3 linked regions of the Canis lupus familiaris genome follow. The protein of the gene in region 2 interacts with the protein of the main gene of each other region in a biochemical or structural test. Links are inferred from orthologs where the notes say so. Each region holds a gene or a part of one and is shown on either strand. Other genes may lie near its edges. The genes, in order: AXL, GAS6 and TYRO3.

The links.
Region 1: the proteins of GAS6 (region 2) and AXL form a complex in vitro, tested with the Homo sapiens proteins (2 studies listed by BioGRID and IntAct, with this or other methods). The link is inferred for Canis lupus familiaris from reciprocal best matches to the Homo sapiens genes GAS6 and AXL.
Region 3: the proteins of GAS6 (region 2) and TYRO3 form a complex in vitro, tested with the Homo sapiens proteins (2 studies listed by BioGRID). The link is inferred for Canis lupus familiaris from reciprocal best matches to the Homo sapiens genes GAS6 and TYRO3.

Annotation. Positions count from the first base shown.
Region 1 is NC_049222.1:113,493,871-113,498,718, forward strand, and holds part of AXL (tyrosine-protein kinase receptor UFO), read right to left. Parts: intron 4,760-4,848; coding exon 4,620-4,759; intron 3,969-4,619; coding exon 3,818-3,968; intron 3,616-3,817; coding exon 3,589-3,615; intron 2,299-3,588; coding exon 2,166-2,298; intron 1,869-2,165; coding exon 1,777-1,868; intron 1-1,776. UniProt on the Homo sapiens protein: Receptor tyrosine kinase that transduces signals from the extracellular matrix into the cytoplasm by binding growth factor GAS6 and which is thus regulating many physiological processes including cell survival, cell proliferation, migration and differentiation.
Region 2 is NC_049243.1:61,139,649-61,144,496, forward strand, and holds part of GAS6 (growth arrest-specific protein 6), read right to left. Parts: intron 4,574-4,848; exon of another isoform or gene 4,426-4,573; intron 2,255-4,425; coding exon 2,132-2,254; intron 1,475-2,131; coding exon 1,353-1,474; intron 890-1,352; coding exon 771-889; intron 441-770; coding exon 251-440; intron 1-250. UniProt on the Homo sapiens protein: Ligand for tyrosine-protein kinase receptors AXL, TYRO3 and MER whose signaling is implicated in cell growth and survival, cell adhesion and cell migration.
Region 3 is NC_049251.1:8,875,040-8,880,457, reverse strand, and holds the start of TYRO3 (tyrosine-protein kinase receptor TYRO3), read right to left. Parts: upstream 3,339-5,418; 5' UTR 3,324-3,338; coding exon 3,176-3,323; intron 1,413-3,175; coding exon 1,229-1,412; intron 1,000-1,228; coding exon 899-999; intron 139-898; coding exon 1-138. UniProt on the Homo sapiens protein: Receptor tyrosine kinase that transduces signals from the extracellular matrix into the cytoplasm by binding to several ligands including TULP1 or GAS6. Regulates many physiological processes including cell survival, migration and differentiation.

The sequences.
Region 1 (4,848 bases), on a different chromosome or scaffold from region 2:
ATTTCTACAAAGCAAACACAATAATATAACTAGCACCCAAGTCAAGAACAGACCATGACCTGCCCTCTTAAGAGTGGCCACCTTCCTGACTTCTCTTCTCATAGATTGGCCATTTCTGTTTGGGAATATAATCATAAACATGGAATCACGTACTATGTTTTCTTTCATGTCTGGCTTCTTTCATTCAACACAGTGTCTATGAGACAGCTGTCATGTAGTTAGTTGTGTGTAATTGCAATTTATTTTCATTGCTATATGGCAACAGTTCTCAAACTTATTGGCCTCAGGACCTGTTCTCATTCTTAAAATTACTGAGGACTGGGCAGCCCGGGTGGCTCAGCGGTTTATCACCGCCTTCCGCCCTGGACGTGATCCTGGAGACCCAGGATCGAGTCCCGCGTCGGGCTCCCTGCATGGAGCCTGCTTCTTCCTCTGCCTGTGTCTCTGCCTCTCTCTCTCTCTCTTTCTCTCTGTGTCTCATAAATAAATAAATAAATAAATAAATAAATAAATAAATAAATAAATAAATAAAAATTACTGAGGACTACATAGAGCTTTCATTCACTGGGATTATATGGATCAATACTTACTGTATTCAAAATTAAAATGGATAGATTTTTCAAACACAAGAATAAACCAACACACATTTGTCAACCAATAGAGTGTCAACCATCACACATCAGAGAACTTCTAAAAAAAACTCCACGGAACACATGTGAGAGAACGAGAGTGTTAAAGGGCATATAACATCTTGGAATTATTATGAAAATAGTTTTGACCTCATGGACCCCCTGCAAAGGTCTCAGGGACCCTCAGGGACCTGGATCACACTCTGAGAACTGCTGCTGCATGTCACCCCACTAGAGCGCCATGACCTCCTTGCTTCTTATTCTTGCTTCTCCTAAATAAATGTCTTTCCCAGCCCCTTCCAATATCTCCCTGGGGCCCCGGCAGCCTTCTCACTGTGTCCTGGGAAGAGACATCACTCTGTCTCTTTCCTTTCTGGATTTAAGTTTCTCCCAGCTGGAAAGATGAAGAGATTAGACAAGGTGCACTCTGAGGTCCTTCCTTAGCTGGGACCCTTCAAAATTCCACAGTCTACAGAGAGTCTAGAGCTCTTAGAGCATATGGTTTTCCAGATCTTAAGGGTCTATGATATTGAGCCTATGATTGTTTCGGCCAAAATCCATTCCACTCTCTAACATTCTAGAATTCCAAGAGGTAGTTAAGAGGATGAACTTCAGAGCAAAATGACCAGGGTTCAAAGCCCAGCTGTCTAACTTAAAAGCTGTGTGGCCTTGAGGAAGTTACTAACCACTCTGTACCCAGCTTCCCCATCTGTGAAAGTGGAGAGTGACTTACCTACTTCATTGGGTTGTCGTGAGAATTCAATTAAATGACGTGTGGGACACTTAGAACAGCACCTGTCACATAGGAAGTGCTAGGGCTGGCTGTCATTATTGGCTTTACAATTATCTAACCATCCTTGTCCTCTTCATTGCCATCATCATCATCATTATCGTCATCATCATTATACTGTTCTAGGATCCTGTGGCCCTAAAGTTTGGTCTTTCTATAACTTATTGTCTAGGACCCTGTTATTTTAAGGATCTGTGTGGTTTCACAATTCTGTTGTTCTTAGTCTATGGTTCTCACATCCTAGTATTCCGGGGTCTTTGGAAACTCTGGGTTCATGCATCGAAAGAAGCCCGGCAGACCCCAATCTCTACACTTGTCATCCCCACACCAGGGCAGGGAGGTATGAGGTTCACTTACAGGTGGCTTCAGTGGTCCGGCGACTGTAGGACTTGCGAACACGGTACCTAACCACCAGCTCACCCCTCTCCACTGTTGGTTCAAACACCTCTCTGGGGGGAATAGGCAGGAGGTGAGGGCAGGGCAGGACCAGGTGGAACCCCCTTTCTCGGACAACAGTGAAAGCGAACACCACCCTTAACCCCAAGCCCTGCCCGCCCTCTCCTCCAGCATTTGCTGAGTATGACTTGGACTTCTACCTTCTGCCTTCCATTTATTACCCAGACCCTTGACCTCATTCTGACTCTTGGTAATCTCTCATCTCGCACCAGCCTCCTCATGGTCTCCCTGACTCCAGCCTCTCCATCCCAGTCCAAGTTAGCCTCCCTACTCACGTAGTTCCAACTCACCCATAGCGGGTCTCCTTCTTCCGCCGGTGGACAAGGAACAGGGCCAAGATGAGGACACAACCGGCAGCCACGACTGCTCCCAGCAATACATACCACCAGGGCCATGAGAAGGCAGGGGCTGGGGGCTCACTCACTGTCAGGGGGTATGGCACACAGGTCATGGATGAAGCCCTGGATCCTGCTCCCCAGGACCCAAAGATATGATGTTGGAGGGAGACAGATGTGGAAATATCTAATGAGGCATGTAGTAGGTAGGTGCATCTACTTATCCAGGGAGATGGACTTGGGTGTGGAAAACACACAAGTTGTGTGAGCAGGGGAGGGGATGTGTGGAGTGTAGGATGGGTGTGTGGAGCGCATGCGAGGAGTATACAAGGAGTATGAGGCTCATGGACAAACGACCAAGGAATGGTCTTGAGGAACATGCACTGATGATGGAGGGGCTTCTATTAAGCGAGGGATAGAAGTGAAATACATGTGCAAAAGAAGGGTGCACAGAATGTCAGATGGGTATTGGAGGAGTTAGAGGTATGTGAGTGAGGAGTAGTTAAGGCATTTTAGATACACCTCATGAGCAACTTTTTGGTAAGGATGTAACGTTGGTGTGAGAGGAGTGTGGGCATGGGAGGAGATGAAATGGGGTGTCAAAGGGTGGGAATGGGTATGTAAGGGATGGAAATGGGTAGGTACGTGCTGAGTGTCCCAGGAGTTTGGTGTGGGTGTGTGCAGAGTGGGAACGGGTTAGGATTGGCGAGTGTTGAGGGAGTAATGTGTAAGGAGCATCACTCCCTGTGTGCAGGAAGAATTGAAGAGTGTGGGATAGTGTGGATCCAAAATTTTCCAGTATTTGCAATGTGGGATATACGGCGAGTGTGTAAAAAGTGTGCAGTCTGTGAATGAGAAGTGTGGGTGTGCACTGGGTTTGGGAGGCATGTGTGAGGAACGAAGGACAATAATAGGATGAATGGGACAGAAGGCTGGCATTAGTGTGGAAAGGGTATGCAAAGAAATGCAGGAAGGCACATAAGGAATCCTTAAGAATAGTAGGTTGAGTTACAAGAGATGAACTATAATAGTGCTAGGAGGGTACAAAGGGTGTTTGAGAATTGCTGGAGAAATATTTGAGAGGGATGGATTTGAGGGGGATAGCTCATCTGCCTGCCCACCCATCCATCCACCTATCTATCTATCCATCCATCCATCCATCCATCCATCCATCCATCCATCCACCATTCATTGAGTACCTACAATGTACGGGGGCCATTCCTGACAACATCAAGGACCACACAAACCCGAGAAGTAGAAGATTAGAATGATGAGTTTGAGAAACATGAAAGAAATGTCTATGGGTATGTTTGTGGTGATGGGGTCCTCACTGGGCATGAAGGCAAAGGAGGGAGGCAAGAGGGTGTGAAGCCCTTACCCAGCTGGTGGATTGGTTGTCCTTGCCCTGTGAGGAGAAAGGACAGAGGGAGGACTCAGAGAGGATAAGACTGGTGTGACACCGGTGAGACTCTCAGGAAGGTTTTGGGTAGGAAAAGAGCCCAGATTGGGGTAACATTGAAAGGTACAGGGAGCAAGTCAGGGCTATCTGGGCAAGACAGGGTCCTCGTGAATCAGTTGAAGGGGGCTGAGCAGGACTTTGGAGTTACCTGGGCGCCAGGGCTCCAGGGGCACAGGGAGGCTCCAGGGTCCATCCCCAGCAGCAGTGTAGGCTGCCACACACACTGTCAGGTTGGGCACCGTCCCATCCCCTTGCAGCTCCAGGGTCACCTCTCTCTTTAGCCCTATGTCCATGAGCACCTAGGACGTCCAGATGTAGCATCAAGGTAAAGCCCCCACCCCGCCACCCCTAACTCTTAAGACTTCACCCTCACCGTTAAGTCCCTATCTTTCTCAAAGCCCCCTCCCCACCCCCTAGCCCTTCACCCCTACCTCTTCCGACCCATCATCCCCACTGTCACCCCCACCTCCATTCTCCATCCCCATGCCCACTCCAACATCAGCTCCACCGGGACTGGGCCATTGCCTCATTCACAGCCCGTCGTCAAGTGCTAGCAAGTGAGGGACTGAACCCTCATCTTTCCACCCAGGTTCCTCTCTTTATCCCCTCCTAACCCCCCACCCTCTCTCTCCCACCCACCTCTCCAACCCAGGGTGCTGCTTGCTCCAAGACCACCTTTGTGCAAATTAGGAAAAGTCACCCCTTCTTCAAGATGTTATACAATTATCTGCTGTAAAATCATGATAGTACATTTGTAAGTCTACTGAAATGTTTTTCACAAGGACTTGTAAATAGCCACTCCCATTCCCTACCCCTTGCCTGGACCCCTTCCCAGGATGTGCCCTCCTAGGTGTAGTGTGGTCTCATATTACCCCAACTGCACTCGTGTCCTGTCCTCCCCATCTCCCTCCACCCAGCCATTCCGCCCCAGCCCAGCCAGCAGCACCCACCTCGGGGGTGTCCTGGCCTCGGTAGGCCAGCCGGTACCCTAACAGGGTGCCCTGCAGGGGCGCCCTTGGCTCCTGCCAACGCACGAGGGCTTGGCTCCCATTCCGCAAGGCGCTAACGTTCTCGGGGGGACCCAGGGGCACTGGAGGACAGGGAAGAGGGGAAGCTGGCACCCCCACCTCTTCCTGACCCCCTCCCCTGTTCCCAGGAAGCAGGGGCAGGGTGCAAAGG
Region 2 (4,848 bases):
CAGCCCTCTGGCTCTGACTCTGCTGCCAAGAGCAGCTCTGACAAGCAGAACCAGGACATAGCCAGCAGCTCCTGGTGGAACAGCCCCTGAGACCACAGCTCTTGCCCCATCACCTGCGGGCTCGCAGGGCAGGGGCCTGTGCAGTGTCCACTCACTGCTGACTGTGCAAACGCGTGAGCAAATGCCAGGGCCCTTCCCCGGGAGTCCCATATGCCAGCCGGCCTGGGGCTGGAGTGGTGGCCACACTCACCGTCTGCCATGTGCCGTGGTTGATGACAGGCCCACTGCTGGTGACACGGCCGACACCATGGTAGCGGAGCTGCAGTTCCAGCCGGCCAGCCCGCAGGCCCAGCACGATCCAGGTACTGTCCTGATGGCCTCCAGCAAAGAAGAGGACGCCTTCAGGGTCATAGGTCCTGAAGTCGAATTCGGTGACCAGCCTGAGGGCCAGCACGAAAAAGAAACAGGTGATGCATGGGCTGGCGGCTCACGGCCTCCTGCCCCAGGGACCCAGACCAGCAGGGAGAGAGCAGCCGTGTGCAGGCAGCCTGGGATTCTTCCCTGAATGCCAGAAGCACTGGTGGGCGCCCAGAGGCCCAGAGTTGGAGCCGTGCTGCTGTGGCTGGGCAGGGAACGGGCTGACTGCCTAGACCGCTGGGGTGCAGCCTGGGGCATGGCCCAGGGGTCTGTGGGCCCAGGGAGCATCAGGCCAGCCATTCCTCGGGCTCTGGTCCACTCTGCTCTGTATTGTGTGAGCCGCCGCCTCTCACCTGGTGGGCTGCAGCCTTTTGAAGCGCAGTCTGATCACGGGTGTCCCGCTGAACATGCGACCCAGGTACAAGGACTTCATGCTTTTGGCCACATTGAAAGGCACGCAGGGCAAAATATCCTGTGGAGTGGGAGCAAGGGGTGTCAGGAGGGGCATACCTGGTTCAGCCCCTCCCCATCACACTGCCTGTCAGGATGCAATCGGGCCCTCCCCCGCCACTCCGCCAGCCAGATGCACAGCAGGTGGCACACAGACACCAGAGACTCTGTTACACTCAGACCGCCACGGCCCGGAGAGACCAGCAGGTACGAGTCCAAGAGGTGGGCAGGCTGGCCAAAAGCAGGAGGCTCCGACTGCACACGTGTGGCAGAGCCTGAGCGGGCAGACAGGGAGGGCAGAGTGTACTCTGGGTGTAGCCCCCAGGTCGTTGGGGGTAGGGAGCCACCAGGCCTAGGGAATTCATGCCCAGGACAGACATGCCTCCATCCTACATTGCCACCGGCCAGGGGACACTGGGCCTTCCCATAAAAACACCTCTTCCAGCACTGTCTTCCTGAAGGACGGCTGCCCCGAGGGCACTTACCTCACAGGTGTTCATGTCTGGGGACAGCTTGAGGCCTCCACGTCCATCACAGTGGCAGCTGTATCCCCCTGGGGAGTTGACGCAGGCCTGCTCACAGCGTCCCTCCGCACACTCGTCCACATCTGCCACCACAGGGAAGATGGGCAAACCTCACCAGGTGCAGTGCCCATGCCTTCTCTGATCGTGCACGCGGTTGGCTTGCTGTGAAAACAAGCTCCAGAGCACGAGCCTCAGGAGGCACCCACTCCCCAGCCCACCCCACGCCCCCCTGGCTCCCTGGCCATGAGCTGTGCTGGTCAGCAGTCTCCAATGTCTGCACACCCTCTGCAGTTTCTCAAGGGAAGCAGCTAGTGTAGAGGCTGAAGGAGGGTTGGAGCACGGTACCAGCTCAGCGCATAAACCACATCTACGAGGTGCTTGGCCTGAGGGTCTAAAGGGGCCCCAGGGACACCCTGCAGGGGAGACAGAGGCTGGGACCACCCCACCTTCCTCTTGGAAGGAAGGGGAGGAAGATGCCCTGGACACAGCGAGTGCTCGTCAGTTGTCCCCAAACACAGCAGTGTGGCCTGAGAGCTCGTTCCTCCTAAATTCTGTGTCTGCAGCAGTTTGGAGAAGGCACCTAGTTGCTTTAAGAGGTACCTGTGGATGTATGTGTGCATGGCATGCACACATGTGTGATGTGTGTGCAAATGTGTGGTCATGTGTGGGGCGCTGCATGTGTGCACACATGTGTTCACAGGTGTTTGTGCCGGGGCCTGCGGGCAGCTGTGGAGGGGTACCTCGGCAGGCCTTCTCCTGGGAGCTGAATGCGTAGCCCTCATCACAGAGGCAGGAGTAGGAGCCAGGCAGGTTCTGGCAGCGCGCCTCCCCGCAGGCAGCTCCATTTGCACACTCATCCACGTCTGCAAGAGAAGCCAGGGCCCTTGACCAGGGTTGTCTCCTGGTCGGTAGGGGAGGTGCTGCAGCGTGAGCCACAGCCTTGGGTGGCCTCAGCTCCCAGGGTGACTAAGCCCTCCTCCCGTCCACTGGACTCTGCAGCCCCAGGCTCAGGCACGGCGGGCGTGGTGGATGTTTCTGCCTGGGGTCCCGGCTGAGGAGGTTGATCTCAGACTGCTGGATGCGGCTGAGCTCGTCCAGGGCCAAGCACTGGAGCCCAGGATGGGGACTTCCAGTGGAGGCTCCCAGGCTCCATTCACCTCCTGAGGGATGACCTCCAGCCACACACCCCATCTCTCCGTTGGAAACCAAGCTCACTAGTGGTGAATTGTTGAGGCTCATCCTGAGGCTCATCCATCTGCTACTTTGGCAAAGAACAAATACAAAAACCTCTGCACTTAATCCTGTTTCCTCCAGGGGCAGAACGAATATCTGGGACAGGCAATTATTAGTCCAGACGACATGGATCCCTCAGACGGCAGCGGGACACCCGTGTTGCGGGGCCTCAGGTGGAGCTCATCACAAGGGCAGCCTGCCAGCAAATAGGCTCTCAAACGTGGCTCAGTGAGCGTAGGAAGGCGCTCTGGCAACAGCACGCGGCCCTGAGACACAGGCGTAAGGCTGCGGGTTCCCTCTGTCCACTGACTCAGTGTGGATGCTTCTGAACCTGAATTTCAGTCCAAGAGCCAGGCCAACCATGTCCAGGAGCATAGGAACCCGGCTCCACAGTCCTGACTGCCCCGGGGAGGCTGTGGGTGCTATGCATACAGCTTGGCTGCAGGACACGGGCCACCCCAAGAAGGATGCCTCGTAAGCACAGGCTCTCTGAACACCACCCGTAAGGAGCTGCCACGGCCCCTGCAGGGCTTGTGACGGTGGAGGGGCTGGTGGCTGGAGGGCCCAGACCCACCAGGGAATGGCCCACAGTGGCAGTGGCATGGGGGAAGGGTTCTCCGCGGTTCTGGCACACTGCACTTCCCAGGCCAGCCCCTCCTCACGTGCCCATCTGGCTCCATGACACCCAGCTTTCTCCTCCCACGGGAGAGAGCACCCCTGTGATGCATAGGGCCGAGCTCTATCAGAGGACCGCTCTGACTCCAGCCTCTCAGCACCTCCACGCTGCATCCTGCCAAAACGTGGCCCTTTGGAGATGCTGCGGTCCGACCATTCATCAGAGCACGGTGACCAGGAAAACGGAGGCAGGCAGTGTGTGGGGCTGGCACCAGGCATGGGGCACAAGCCTAGACACAACCCTACACTGTGCACCAAGGCCAAGAGGCCCGAGGCCCCCAAACAGGCCCTGCCTCTGCCCCCCGCCCAGGCCCTCATCTGCTTCTCCTCCTAGGACAGGGCCCCACCTGCGAGGCTTGGAGATCCCTCTCTGCAGTCAAGGAGCAATGACAGAAAGGCCAGAGCCCCCATTCCCAGGGTGCTGGGGGGCTGTAGAAGTGGAGCGACCGCAGCCCCTCCTTCCCAGCATCTCAGAGTCTGATCAAGGAAGACAAGATGGAAAGTCTGGGCCCTTCCACACCACACTGGCAAGGCCCCTCATTCCCACAGCTTCCCTTGGCTGGGTCTGGGGTCCCAAGGTCCCCAAGGAAACAGGCGATGGCCAAGAGAAGGGGAGGTGTCTGTCAGCTGGTGTCAGCACAAGGAACCCTGGCCGCGCAGGTGGGGCACCTGCCATGCTTGCTGTTAATCCATCACGCTAAGGAGAACACCTTTGTTCTGGGGGAAGGCACCAAGCACCAAGGTGCAGGGGATCTGTCAGCTCCCACACATCACAGACCTGGTGAATGAGCGCTAAGTAGACCCTCGTCACTCAGGGTCTCCCGAGGAGGCAAAAGCAGGAGGTGCCCGCGGCACACAGCACATCGCCCAGGGGCGTGCAAACACCATGGCTCCGGGAACTCCCAGCAGCTGTGGGTGCATCACATGCAGACATGGCCCCAGACATAGCCCGCAGGCCGGAAGTCCCTGGGGCCGTGGCCGTGCACGTCTGGCCTGGGTGCCAGCCGCAGCTCGAGGAGAGGACAGCTGTTGTCAGGTTGAGGCAGCAGGTGGGAAGGAGCCATGAATGATGACAAAAGTGGAAGCTGTTTTCCCAAAAGTGGGAAGGGCCCCCTGTCCTGTCTGACTCAGAGTTCACCCTGTCACCGGCTGTTGCGCAAGCCTTGCTCCTGAGGCCGCTTCTCCCTCAGTAGATCTGTTCTGCCCCGGGCAGGCCCGTAGTACGAGAGAACTGCCCGGATTCTCAGGGACACGCCAGTGGCAGGTGTCAGCAGGTCTGTATTGGAGGGCAGGGGGCGGAGGGAGGAAGAGACAGCCCCCCTGTAAAGTCGGGGACCCCTTTTGCAGCCCGGCCAGCCACAGTGTGCAGACTTTCTGGGGTGGTCAGGGCACTGGACCCCAGGGGCCCCAGACTAAGGAGGGCGGCTGCCTTCTGCTTTGCTCAGTGGCCAGCCCGCCTCTGCCAGAGGGAAGTGGGTGAGGGGGGAAGCCAGCTGGGTGGGTGTAGACAGGTGCCACCCCTGGGTGAGAGGGAGCCTGTGTGCTCTGG
Region 3 (5,418 bases), on a different chromosome or scaffold from region 2:
GTCCCCCAACCTTTGTGCCTCCTCTCCACCACACAATGGTAACAGGTTCAGGGGGACCCACGGCCTCACAAGACAGTTGGAAAGGGGCATTGGGTGGCACTGCCAGATCTTTTGGCTCCACAGTGAAAAATGGCACACCTGGGAAGAAAGGGAGGTGGGGAATGAGCCTTGCCACCTCTGTTTCCAACTACCCAAACCACAAGTTTGCTACCATTTGCAGCCCTCCGTGCAGAGGTCCTAAAGCCCTTATGATTGAGTCAACTGCAGAACAGGCATCTAGCTTGAGGGGGAAGCTTCTCTTCTTTGGGCACCTTAGGAATATCCTTTATGCTGTCCCCTTGGGCATAGTAGATTCTCTCTTCCGAGACAGCCCTTCTCAGAGCAGGGGAGGAGGGAGGGTAGGGAGCTGGGGGGAGGGTCACAAAGGGAGGGGGAGTGGGCGGAAGCTTTAGCAGAGTTCTGCTGGCAAGCCCCAGATCCCCGTTCAGGCCCCTTTGTTACTTTCTTAGTCACTTTGTTTTCCTGGGTTGAACAGCTCTGAGCTCCCGCAGCTGCGGAGCCTTCCTCCCCTCCCCCATCCCTCCCCCTCCTGGCCTGGCCACTTGGCAGGACTGGGTCCAGCCCCAGATGGGTGCTTGAGGTTTGCTGATCAAACAACTGGAATGGACTGCACCATGGGTTCTGGGTTCTTATTGTCCCCTTGGCTGTGAAATACCCAGACTCCAATGAGTAAGGTCTCCTGATGTCTGGGGTAGGCCTGGAGCCTGGTGCAATCAGGGCCCAGAGGGCAATGGGGCAGCCCAGCTTCCACTGAGCTTTTTCTTCTGCAGAGGTGTGGTCACTAGCAGACAGCACCTGCTCCAGGCCAACATGCCCACCTGTATCTCTGCTTCCTCACCTTCTACTGTGAGCCATACTGGTTGGGAGGTCTCCGTTTCACCCCCATCCTCCACCTGGCACCAGTACCGGCCTGCATCAGAGCGCTCCACTGACTTCAGGCTGTAGAAACAGGATACCAGGCTCGCCTCCCAGAGTTGGCAGGGGGCGCGCTGTGCTGGGCCGACTCAGTGGGTTCAGCCTACCCCCGCTTCTGGAAGTTTCCATAGGTTGCCAAATAAAAAACCCCAGACTTCTGGGCATCGGCATTGCCCCCAGCTCCCAAGCCCCAAGGAGAAAGCACAACGTGTCCCCAGGCTGGCATGCCACACCCTCCCCCCTGGCCCTGCACCTGAGGAAGCCAATCCAGTGCTGCTCACTGACTGGGATGTACACCTGATCCACACTCTGGACCACAGCCCCGTCCTTCACCCACTGTATCTCAGGCTCCTCCATTCCCTCCACACTGCAGTTGAGCTTCACCGGCTGCCCCTGAGACACAGTCAGCTTCACTGGGGCTCCCATGAGCTTCAGGCCTGAGAGGTGGGAAGGAGAAGGTGTCAGCCTGCTTGACAGGGACCCTGCCTCTGGAAATATCTCCCCTCCTCTTCCAGAACCTAGTGTCTGGTTCGCAGAGCTTATTCTCAACTAATGGTCAAGAAAGCAGAGGTTGGACGTGGGAGGGAGAGAAGGTGGCCGGGGCCTTGGCTGGGGGACGAAAAAAGACAAGCTATCCAGGCACCATTTCTGCCACTGCCAAGCTTCCCCCAGCTCTATGAAAGTGCCCTCTTCCCCATGCCTCCCGACTGGGTGATGTGAAGTTCAAGCCCAACCATCAAAAGGAAGGCAGGCCAAGCTAAAAAGATGGGGCCCTCTCATCCACCTGGGGCAGGTACTGCCTTGAGAATGACTGCTGCACCCATGGAGTGCAACAGGCGGCCAGCTCCCTGCCTCTCTAGGTGTCCGGCCAGACTTCAAGCTGCTGCTGGCACCCCCTTGCACCCCACCCTGGCAAATTAAACAAGGCTGAGGAAGAGAAGGAGGGGGTGCTCCCCTGAAGTGGAGAACATATGGCTGCAGAACCACGTCAGATCAAACACATGGCAGCCTTCCTGGCAGCCACCCGCTCTATTAATACCTGAATGTGTGCAGGGGCGGGTGCTAGGGAGGTAGGAGGTAGAAGAGAGCAGAGGGGCCCTGAACAGAAGCCCAAGACCCCTGAGCTACTGTCACACCAGCAGGAGCCACCTTGCAGAACACTATCCTCTGCATGGACACACACACACACACACACACACACACACACACACACACCTCCTAGTCTCCTGGCATGTTTTTAAGCAGAGGGGCAGGTGAACTATCCAAATAGTTGAATCCAGTCCTGCTTCTCCCTGCCCTTTGCTGTGTGACTCTAGGCGAATTCCTGGGCTCTCTCTGATCCTGAGATACACACTTTTCAGCTTGTAAATACTTGTCACTCTTTTCCTTCCCTAAGAATCTCATATGGCAGGGAGTACAGTCTCAAAACAAGGTGCCAGCTCTGTGGCTGCTGCTTTTAGCCTGTGTCACAGGGCACAGAGGGATAACCTCACACCCCATACACACCCAACAGTCCCAGAGGGTTGTAGTGTGAACTTGAGATGCAGGGTGCTGCGAGGAGCACTCCTACAATGGGCAAATGCCTCAGGGGCCATGTGGGAACACAAGGCTGACCCCCACAAAGACCAGCAACCTCGCTCCAACCCATCCTCTCCAACGTCCTCCGTTTCAGGAAGCTCTGAGTGGGTACAGGAACTAGAGTCTGTCCAGATGTTTTCTGTGCCTGGGCACCCTCACAGCCCTTGTACCTAAATGGTGTAGGTATGCCTCTTGGGGCTCAGTCCAGCCCCTGTGGTTTCCGAGCGGGACTTTCATGTGTAGGGCGGGCTGAATGGGGTCCCCAGGACTGCGAGGGGAGAGCAAACAACTAGATACGTCGAGGCGGGAAAATCCAGTTCGGAACAGCCCCCTCTGACCACTCAGCCCACGGCCCCACTCCTTTGCCTTCCACCCCGCCAGAAGAGCCCCGGACGCGAGAAAGTTGGGGGTGGGGCCCCTGCCGGGGGACCCGCAGCGGACACGGCGCGGCGCCCCCGCCCCCCGCCCCCCGCCCCCAGCCTCGGCCTTGCAGCGTGGGTCCCCCCACCCAAGTCTCCGGGCCGCCCGGGCCCGGGGCTCGCTCCGCTGCGGTCCCTGGGCGCCCACCCGGCCGCGCCCCTCCGCAGCCCCCGGGTTCCGCCGCCTCCCGACCAACCCCTACCTGCGGCCGCGGGCTCCGCGAGCAGCACAGCTGCCAGACCCGCCAGCAGCAGCAGCGGCGGCGGCGGCGGCGGCGGCGGCGGCAGCAGCGGCAGCGGCAGCGGCAGCGGCGGGAGCCCGGGCCGCCCCATGCTCCGCCTCAGCGCCATCGGCGGCGACGCCGCACCATGCCGGGCCCGGCCCGCGAGCGAGAGGGAGGAGGGAGGAGGGGGAGGGGGAGGGGGAGGGGGAGGGCCGGAGGAGGAGGAGGAGGGCCGGAGGAGGAGGGCCGCGGGAGGGGCGGGGGCCGGCCGGGGGCGGTGCTGGGGCCCGCGCCTCCGAGACCCGCGCCCGCTGCGAGTCGCGGCGGCGGCCGTCAACAGCGCGCGGTCCCCGGGGCCGCCGCTGGGCCACCGCGCTCCTTCCACAGCCGTCGCCGCCGTCGCCGCCGCCGCTGATTCATGTTCTCGGAGCCGCCGCCTCCTCCCCAGCCCGCCCGCCCGCAAGCCTGAGCTCGTACCGCCCCCCCGCGGAGCCTCGGGCCGCGCGCTCCGAGCGCCTACCCCGCCGCGGGCCCCGCCGGCCCCCGCCCGCGGGCCTCCCCCCTCCCCCCCCCCCGGCGCCGCGGCACCCCCGGCGGGCTTCCTCCGGGCCCGAGGATCGGCCGGGGCCCGGGGCGCACCCAGCCACGCCCCTCCATCCCCTAAACACACTCCAGCATCCTTTCAAACCCAGCACTCCGGGTCCTGCCGTCCAACCTCGCTGGAGCCTCTACCGCACCCCAACTTTCGTCCAGCGTGTGATGCCACAATCCCGTCCCCCGTCTCAGGACAGAAAGCATCTCAATCCCCTAAATTCCCCACCAATCAGGGCCCCCGAAATCGTGACTCAAGGCTCCCCACACAGGACCTACTAACACCCCTTCCTGCCTCTTTCTTGAGCCTTTCCCCGAAATTTCCCATATTCCTGCTCCATTTCCCACCCAAGATCTCCAGGATCTTGGCGGGGGGTGGGGGGGTGGGTTCCAAGATCTTTTTGCTAGTCCTCAGGTTTTATATCTGACATCCCCACTGATAGGCCAAAGCCCCATTGCCCATGTCTTTTGGGGCTGTCATTCTTACTAGCTGCTTCCTCTGCTTCTACCCTCCCTGCCCCTATCCCCTAGGACATGGTGTGAAAGTTGGCTGTGTCCTCACAGTATCCAATAAAACATTTAGCTATTATTAGTGGACCACCTTGCACACAGTAGGCATTCCATAAATAAACAGACAGATGCCTGTTAAATTAATGAATAATTGCCTCAGAGCTTGGCCTGCCCCACAACCAGTAATCATGAGGGTGGCTGTGCCCAAAGACATCCTGTCAGGCAGATGCAGAGCTGGTTCCAAACGCAGCCTACCAAGCTTTCTCCCTGGGCCTCTGCTGCTACCTGTCCCCTGGAGCCCACTCCAGAGGGCCCTTCCTAGAAGTCCTGCATAGGGAAGAGGAACAGGCTACTCAGCCCCCTGTTTCCTGAAGCCTCACTGGATCTTTCCAGGGATTCTCCCGAGCAGCAGGGGCCTGCCTCTTCCTCCACTTGGCCCCATCAGTGCTTGCTTATTAATTATACTAATGATAACAACAACAGCAGTGCTGGTGGCACCCTCAGACCCAGCTCCGGGCGCCCTCAGGTGGCAACACAGGGAGAGACTCCAAAAGGACAGACTTGGAAGGCAGGGACCTGAGGTCTCTGCTTAGCTGGGCGCTCTGCCAGTTTTCTTGGGTACTGTGGGTGGGCTATAGGACCCTTTTTTAAAGGAAAAGATTTGCTCTGTTCCGGAAGCCACAGCTTCTGAGTTTGGGCTGAGTCGGATCGGGGCAGGCAGACAACAATCTGGGGCTGAAGCCAGGTTCGCCAGGGCAGCGCTACTGCGGCAGCATGGCTGCTGCAGCTCTGCACTCCTGGAGGCCCTCTCCCACACCTCTCCTCTCTCCAGGGGACTTCAAGTTTCCAGTGAAAGAAAGCCTCCTATGACTCTAGTCGACATTGGAAAGACCTCTCCTAGAGGATGTTGAACCCAAAGCCCAAACCCAAACTTCCACTTCTTCTTCTTCCCTCATTTCCTGAACTCTGACAGGGAAGCCCAGCCCAAGGACCACCTTTGCCACCAGTCAAGATGGGCTTCTTGGACATGTCATGGATTCCACTGCATTCTGCACTCTGAGCCTAGACGAACTTCCTATTTCGGGGCAGGCCTCAGGCACATCACTTTTGCCCTGGGGCAG